Linked DNA regions of Oryzias latipes. The protein of the gene in region 2 binds, or shares a complex with, the protein of the main gene of each other region. Links are inferred from orthologs where the notes say so. Each region holds a gene or a part of one and is shown on either strand. Other genes may lie near its edges. The genes, in order: sec13 and wdr59.

Evidence for each region.
Region 1: the proteins of wdr59 (region 2) and sec13 are in contact, whole or in part, in a cryo-EM structure (PDB 7UHY), measured with the Homo sapiens proteins. The link is inferred for Oryzias latipes from reciprocal best matches to the Homo sapiens genes WDR59 and SEC13. Residues at the interface, in NP_085058.3 of Homo sapiens: Ala525, Tyr526, Gly527, Asp531, Ala532, Asn533, Ile534, Pro535, Phe536, Pro537, Arg538, Thr539, Ser540, Gly541, Ala542, Arg543, Phe544, Cys545, Gly546, Ala547, Tyr549, Val551, Phe553, Thr554, Arg555, Met557, Ala644, Gly645, Lys646, Val647; in NP_899195.1 of Homo sapiens: Val4, Ile5, Asn6, Thr7, Val8, Asp9, Thr10, His12, Asp14, Met15, Ile16, His17, Asp18, Ala19, Gln20, Met21, Asp22, Tyr23, Tyr24, Gly25, Leu28, Val42, Pro59, Trp61, Gln62, His67, Pro68, Tyr79, Ser105, Asn107.

Annotation. Positions count from the first base shown.
Region 1 is NC_019863.2:32,815,933-32,820,387, forward strand, and holds the start of sec13 (protein SEC13 homolog), read right to left. Parts: upstream 2,855-4,455; 5' UTR 2,708-2,854; coding exon 2,705-2,707; intron 2,503-2,704; coding exon 2,458-2,502; intron 1,152-2,457; coding exon 1,036-1,151; intron 821-1,035; coding exon 669-820; intron 173-668; coding exon 39-172; intron 1-38. Other genes in the region: cullin-associated NEDD8-dissociated protein 1-like, read left to right, coding at 3,595-3,662. UniProt on the Homo sapiens protein: Functions as a component of the nuclear pore complex (NPC) and the COPII coat. At the endoplasmic reticulum, SEC13 is involved in the biogenesis of COPII-coated vesicles.
Region 2 is NC_019861.2:37,911,637-37,914,743, forward strand, and holds the end of wdr59 (GATOR complex protein WDR59), read right to left. Parts: intron 2,241-3,107; coding exon 2,159-2,240; intron 2,076-2,158; coding exon 1,955-2,075; intron 1,884-1,954; coding exon 1,741-1,883; intron 1,664-1,740; coding exon 1,428-1,663; 3' UTR 805-1,427; downstream 1-804. Other genes in the region: gpatch1 (G patch domain-containing protein 1), read left to right, coding at 118-227, 291-400, 577-610. UniProt on the Homo sapiens protein: As a component of the GATOR2 complex, functions as an activator of the amino acid-sensing branch of the mTORC1 signaling pathway. The GATOR2 complex indirectly activates mTORC1 through the inhibition of the GATOR1 subcomplex.

The DNA.
Region 1 (4,455 bases), on a different chromosome or scaffold from region 2:
CCTTTCTCGGTGGACCAGCAGTAGTGGGTCAGACTCACAGTGTGTGCGTTGCTGATCTTTTTCACGTCCCACTGCTGATCTCCAGTTAGGGTGAGGAGGGAAATGGCTCCATCGGAGCTGCCGCAGGCCAGGATGAGGCCGAACTCATAGGGACCCCAGCAGACAGAGTTGACTGCAAACACGACAGCAGCAGCGCCATGAACACAAAGACGCGGCCGTTTACCGTGGTCACAGTGACTCTTCAAAGGTCTTCTTTTACATTCTACCCACTAGCTCTTCAGCATAATCAGCGGAGGTCAGCCGATTCTGTCGCAGACAAAAGCAGGAAGTGTTGCATAGCGGCCTTAAGCGATCAGTTCAGCTGATTCCTGCTGATCGCAGAAACAGACGAGGATTTACGCTTCGTCAAAGAGCACGAGCCGCCGGCGGCGTCTCCGCTGTCAAAAGCACGGAGAACGTCTCTCCTGCTTTCGGATCGGCTGAAGTTCCACAGCAACACAAACAACAACCAGTAAAAATGATAACAAACACAATCTAACTCTGGTGTGGAATTACAAACACTGAGAATAGGATAAGAAATGGCATTTACCATAAACACCTACAGAGTAGCTGTAATGGAATGAGCTGGAGTTCTAACACTGGATGAGGGGAAACATTCCCTTACTGACCTGAGGACTCGTGTCCCGTGTACTCGTACATCTTGTCCCAAGCTCCGTTCTCCTCCTTCCAGACGATGACCTTCCGGTCGTAGGAGCAGGAGGCCAGGATGTTCCCAAACATGGGGTGGGCCCACGCCACCTGCCAGACGGGCCCTTCATGGCTGAACGAAGAACACAAAATCTCTCACACGCGAGTTCAGAGTAGAAATGAACTTTTCACGATGAAAGCCGTTTGTGTTTCACGATATTTGTCAGCGTGTATTATACCAGCATAAAGAACATTAAACTAGAAGTTATTCTTCTTGGAGAACACCCACCTGCTGTTCTTTACTGCATTTAACAGAGGATAACTAAGACTTTTCTGAGGATGACTCACCCTCGGAGGTCTGCCACTAGAATCTGTCCTCCGTTCCTGACATCAAAGATCTTGACAGTGCGGTCAGAGGAGCATGTGGCGAGTCGCGTCCCGTAATAATCCATCTGAGCGTCATGCTGAAACACAGAAACATGTATGTGTTCACAGCCAGTGAAACCATTTCTATGTGTCTGATGTTTCAAATGGACATTTTGAGATTGAAAGGGAAACACGTATGCTGGTTATGTCAATCATTATACTGGCACTAAATGAAGGCACAAATCCAGAACTCCTGGATCTAAACCTTTCATGTCAGCCGTTTGAATCTACAGCACCTCTGGATCAGGAAGAGGCTGTTTAAAAACCACCTAGAGAGCGGTGGTCTTCCAGCTGAAAGGGTGACATCATCGGCGTGTGAAGGTCAAAGGTCTTTAGTACTAGTAGGTAGAAAGAAACACTGCAGAAAGGCAGGTCGTTACATTTGGATAAAGGGAAGATTTCTGAGAATTTAACTCCTAAAACCAGAATAAAGACATGAAGAGAACTTTTCAACACGTGTGAGTATTTAGACACGCCATCACTTCCCATCCAACTCACCTGAAGATTTACAGATGCATGAATGCAGATGGGATGCAACTGCCAGGCGTGTCTAGTGTTTAAGTGTATACAGCACAGCGCTTTTAATACTAGAACAAATCATTTTTAATTGAGGATCCTCACATCAGTGAAATCAGGGGCTGGAGGTTGATTTAGATGCTTTTATGCAACAGACAACTGCCTCAATGCTATCAAGAATGAAACATTTTGATGTTGAAGGGAATTCATCCATCCCGCTCAGGATTACAGGGTTGCTGGAGCCTATCCCATCAGGGTTCACCCAGGACACTTCACCCGTGCATCACAGAGACACACAACAACACACATGAACCTTTACAGCATGTCCCTGGACTCGTCAACAAAAAGTTATGTGTTCGTACTTTTAGAACACTGTGACCTCTGATAGGTTGATAACATGTTTGTCTTTCTTGTATGTTCGTTTAAAATGAAGCCCGTCTCTATGATCATGTGTTAGGCAAACGTTTCCCTCTAAAATCATTAAGGGTATCATTCAGGAACAAGTATCACAATAAAATCCAGCCTTTCTGATAAAAGTGGGTCATTTCTTCTAAAGAGATTAAAGCACAAAGAACAAGATGAACTTCAAGAAAACAACAAGACAGACAGAAAAAACACGTTTCCCCCACAAACAAACCTAAGGATAAATGTAATTATAAATCAATATTAATGATTAGTTCCAAACGATAACGATACAGCCCCAAAATAGAGTAATCAAACCACAGTAAAAGTTTAATTGTAAGAACGGATAAACGTGTGAAACAATATTAAACAAATTCAATGTAATTATCCATCCACGGATAGCATAGTGGGAGGTCAAACACTTACAATCATGTCCTCGTGGGAGGTGTCCACGGTGTTAATAACGGAGACCTATAGATTAGAAACAGCAGAATTTTATTTGACCTGTTCATAAAAAAAATAACCATCATTGTTTTTATCTGCAGTGCTAACGCGTCAGCTAGTATTTCGGCTAACGGGAGCTAGCTAACTGTGAGTCTTAGCAGGCAAACGTAAACTTTAAAGATGTTTTTAAGAAATGCTAAAACCATTTTTATAAAGTATTTTAACCAACCATCGCTGCTGTTTAACCCAAAAACCCTTCAACAGTTTTCTGGTCGCTTAGCAATGAATCGACCGGGTTTACAAACTACTCCGACGTGGCAACAAGTACCGCAGACCGCTTCCAGAGCCCGAGACTTGCTTCCGGCGGAAGTGACGCAATCGAAACGTAAGTTCCGCCTACACGACAACAACGCAAAATTACATTTACAAAGCCTGTTGATGCAACGACAGGGCTGCTCCCTGTTCCCTTCTCTGTCTATCTGTCTCTCTGTCTATCTGTGCCGGTCCCAAGCCCGGTTGCTTTGAGAAGGTTGCGTCAGGAAGGGCATCCGGCGTAAAACATTGCCAAGTTTACCATGCGACTTGTTCGCTGTGGCGACCCCTGATGGGAAAAGCCGAAAGAGGAAAAAAAAAAAAAAAAAAAAAAAAAAAAAGTTGATGCAACGAAAGAAGAGTCAAAACATCTTCCTGTAAAATAACAAAAGGTATATTTTCACATTAAACAATCTAAATTTATTTGGGACAATACTCACACACATGAAAGCCAATTAAAAAATAAAGTTATAAATCAGAAAACAATCTATTTACAAAACAACCTTGTATGTTATTCAAACAAATTCATGGCAAACAGAGACTGTAAAACTTCTCTTTACAGTCCATGGTTTAGGATTTCAAAACGAACTCGGCTGTAATGCTCGGTTTGTCCACACGAGGGAGACATAAACCAGAATAAGTGTGCTGTATTTTTAGCTGACCCTGGGGGTGTCAGGTTTAAGGTTAGCTCCGCTTTCTGCCCACCAGCCTCGCCATGTTGTCAGGGTGAATCTGGTTCCCCAGTTCCATTGCTTTCCTACAGATTTAGCATTTATCGGCGTCCGTGTCAGCTGTTAAAGAACCATCATGTCTAACGTGTCCTACCACATCTCCAACCTGTTGGAGAAAATGACCTCCACTGACAAAGACTTCAGGTAAAGTAAGAGACAGCTGCTCATCAGCTGCTCATCAGCTCTGACAGTGAGACCCTTTTTACTCTGACTCGTCATTCGATTGTAGATATTTCTTTTGTCAAAACGTTTGTTTAAGACACTCTGAGTAATGAATATAAAGCAGTGAATGTTAAAGTAATGAACATTTTAATTTAAAATCTGATCAGAGACTCAGAGGAGAAAAGACAGTTATTAAAAGGTTCTTTTTTTACATTTTGCTGAAAATGCAGATGTATTTAGTTTACTAACATTTAAAAAGTGCAAAATTCAAATGACAAAGAAGTGAAAGTAAAAGTTTCATTACACACACATCATGAAACTTGAACACAAACTTTAGAAGTACAACAAGAAGCGAATCCTAAACTCAGGTGTTTGTGTACAGAACGAAACCTTTAAAACTGTTTTAGTTGATTTCTTTGTAAAGATTTGTTTATGTCACGCTTTTGAATCCAAACTATTTCAATTATTAAAATCAAATCACAACTGAAGCTTCAATAAAGAATATGAAAACAAGAGGCGGCATCTCCAAAAGTTGACAACTTCTACAGTATTTTTAGAATAAAACGTTAGACTAATCATGGCCTAAATCTATGCACCAAAGTCACAATTCAACTTAAAAAATGACAGCATCTACAATATGTCCCGTCAAACAAACATGTTTATGTATAATAACTAGAAAACGACACAGTAAGATCTTTGTGAGGAGATAGCTTAGTCCTGTGTTTTAATATTATTTTGTAGGAATCCATAAGTGGAGCAGATAAGGCGTTTTATT
Region 2 (3,107 bases):
CTGCGATAAGCAGGAAGTGAATGTTTGTTTGGTTTCCATGGCAACATCAGGCGTTGGGATTGGGAACGAGCACAGAGTGAAGACGGAGGGGGTAACTCCTTGTTGTTTGCTGTTCAGACACAGGAGGAACCGCAGGTGTCTGCCCCCCCAGCCAGGAGGACAAACGCGTGAGGAAGAGGAGCAAAGAGAAGAAGCCGAAGAAGAGCAAACACAAAAAGGAAAAGAAGGTGAGATGGAAAGAAAAGCAGCAGGACAGGAACCGGTTTGAAACGGACCTTGGTTCTGCGCAGAAAAAGAAGCAGAAGAAGAAGAAAGGGAAGCAGAAGAAGAGCAGGAAGGAGTCCGAGAGCAGCTCCGACGACAGCGACCCAGACGTGTCCCCGGACCTGCTGCTGAAAAGGTCAGAGGTCATCTGGAGGAGCAGCCGTCTCTTCACAACCAAACTTTTGTTAGATTTTCCTAAAAACGACTCAGAACCTCAAACTGAAGACTCACCACGATCCGGGCACGTCTGACCCAGAACCACAGAGGTTCTGTCGGGTTCTCCCAACAAACAGATCTGTCTTCTCCTTCCAGACTGAAGAACATCCGGTCCCAGCAGAGCCGCTGATCCAGCAGAACCATGTCCTCCGTGAGGACCACAGCCAGAACATCCCAGCGTACAAAGCCTCCAATAAAAGCCTTCTGCATCACTTCCTGTTCTCTGCATCACTTCCTGTTCTCTGCATCACTTCCTGTTCTCTGCATCACTTCCTGTTCTCTGCATCTGAGCTAAAGCTGAGCTGTCAATCATCTGCTTCTGCCTGAGAAGAGAAAATCCAAACAGGCTTTTATTCGTCCAAATCAAAGTTTTCCAATATTTCCTTCATTTCACCCGATAACAATGAGATGAAGAACATCCATGTTCTCATTTTCAGAAACACTGGTTTGTCCCAAAGCTCCTGAGGGCAGCGTGTGACCCCACAGTTGCCATGGTTACAGTAAAAAAAAAAGAAAAAAGGCTTGTCGTTTGGTTTTTACCACAATATGGAAGCTGAAGTCTGGATCTGCTGTGGAGTGAAGACCTGACATAAAAATGTCTTTCATGAAGTCAAAGGAGAAAACGGGATCAAACGCCCCGAAGGTTCTGTGGTTCTGGACACATTTGTGCCGTTTGGAGACTCTGGATGTGGGTCAAGCTGTGCCCGAGACAGCTCTGCTACAGAGGAACCCCCTGAGGACTTCCTGGTCCATCTGAGCCCGCTGGGAACCCGAGCCCGTACCCGGAGACGACACACCAACACTGAGAAGATCCACAGGTGGTGAACGCCGGAAACCTTCAGCCGTCTCTCCTCCACCCGTGTTGGGTCTACTAGTCACGGTCCTGTGAGAGGATGGGTTCTCCTGGAACCGTCCAGGTCCTGCAAGGTCCCCGGCTGCGGCTGCTCTCAGAAGGTGCTCTGCAGCAGGCAGTGGCAGCCGCAGCCGGCCGGACACTCGTCCTGCCTGCGGAACCAGTCCATCATGTGGTTGGTGTGGCCTCCGTGACCGCAGCTCAGGCAGAAGTTGGAGGATCCGCGGACGGCCACGTGGCAGACGGCGCACTGGAAGGTGAGGTGCTTGCAGACGGCGCACTGAGTCCCGCGCGCCTGGCTGCGGCAGTGGCAGCAGTAAACGCCGAACTCTGAGGGGGCAGGAGGGGTTCTGGGTTACTTCCACATTCAGCGGGGCGGCTGGGAAGCGGCGGGACAGGAAACATACCGATGCCTTTGTGGGGTTCTGGCGGACAGGAGGCAAACTTCAGGACGTCGGCTCTCTTGTCCCGGAGGCCCCAGCGGTACAGGATCTCCCCGTAACATTTCTTGAAGTCGTCAAACTGTGGCATGTTGGCGGGGTCCAGCAGCCTGCGACACACGGAACGAGCAGGTCAGGGGTGTTTCAAGGCCGGTCCCCTCAGGGCGGAGCGCCACGTCACCTCTTGTTCATGTCGTGCTGGTCTCGCTCGCGTTCCCGGGGGTCCGTGTAGGCCTGGCCGCCGTAGCGATAGTCGTCCGGCGAGGGCTCCCCCCAGGGGCTGATGTGATCGGGATCTCGGACTGAAAAACCAGAAGAAACCGTCAATTTAAGAGCAAAGCACCACGTCCAACGGGACGGCCGGCGAGGGGAGCGGCGGCGTCACCTGCGGTCCAGGTGCTGGCGTTGATGGAGTCGGAGGTGCTGGAGCAGGAGCCGGATGTGACGGAGCTGGACGTGAAGCTGGACTGAAGCAGAAACAGGCATGTGACATCACTTCCTGTGACGATGAAATTCAGCTGCTGCTGTGGTCTCCTCAAACGTAACCGAGGTTAGGGATGGGTACCGCGCCCCGGTACTGAAGGAGCCCCGGTACTGAAGGAGCCCCGGTACTGAAGGAGCCCCGGTACTGAACGAGCCCCGGTACTGAAGGAGCCCCGGTACTGAAGGAGCCCCGGTACTGAACGAGCCCCGGTACTGAACGAGCCCCGGTACTGAACGAGCCCCGGTACTGAAGGAGCCCCCAGGCAACATTCTTCAATACCGCAGTAGCACTAAGATCTGACCTCAACGGTTCTGGTATCGGTTCTGGAGAAGTCGCATTTGTTTGTGTCCCAGGAGGTTATCTGCCATATTTAACTCACCAAGTCAGTCAATTTTCCATTAATGAATGATGATATTAATTTTGCTATTCTGGCTGAAGAGGAGAGGTCTGTCTGGTTATTTGTGTGCACGGGGGGCGGGGCTGTTGTTCAGACAGCACGCAGCGCGCACACAGGAACGCTACCAAAGATAGAACTGCAGATCCGCCTCCTAAAAGCAGAGCGTGGAAATGCTGCTCTCTTCTCCTCAGATAAACTCCCTGAACATTCTTTATTTTGTTAACTATTGGACATTTAGCCATTTTATTTAAGACGTCTTCAAAATATCCACAATGTATTTGTTAGTGTATATTTGTATTTTTATTTTTTGTGACTCAGGTGAGGAGTCATAAAAGAAATTATGAATGGAAGTGGATGTTTGTTATTTTTGTGTTTAACGATACCCATCCCTAGTCCAGGTGAGATCCTCTAGAAAAGTTCAATTCAATTCAATTTTATTTGTATGGCCCAAAA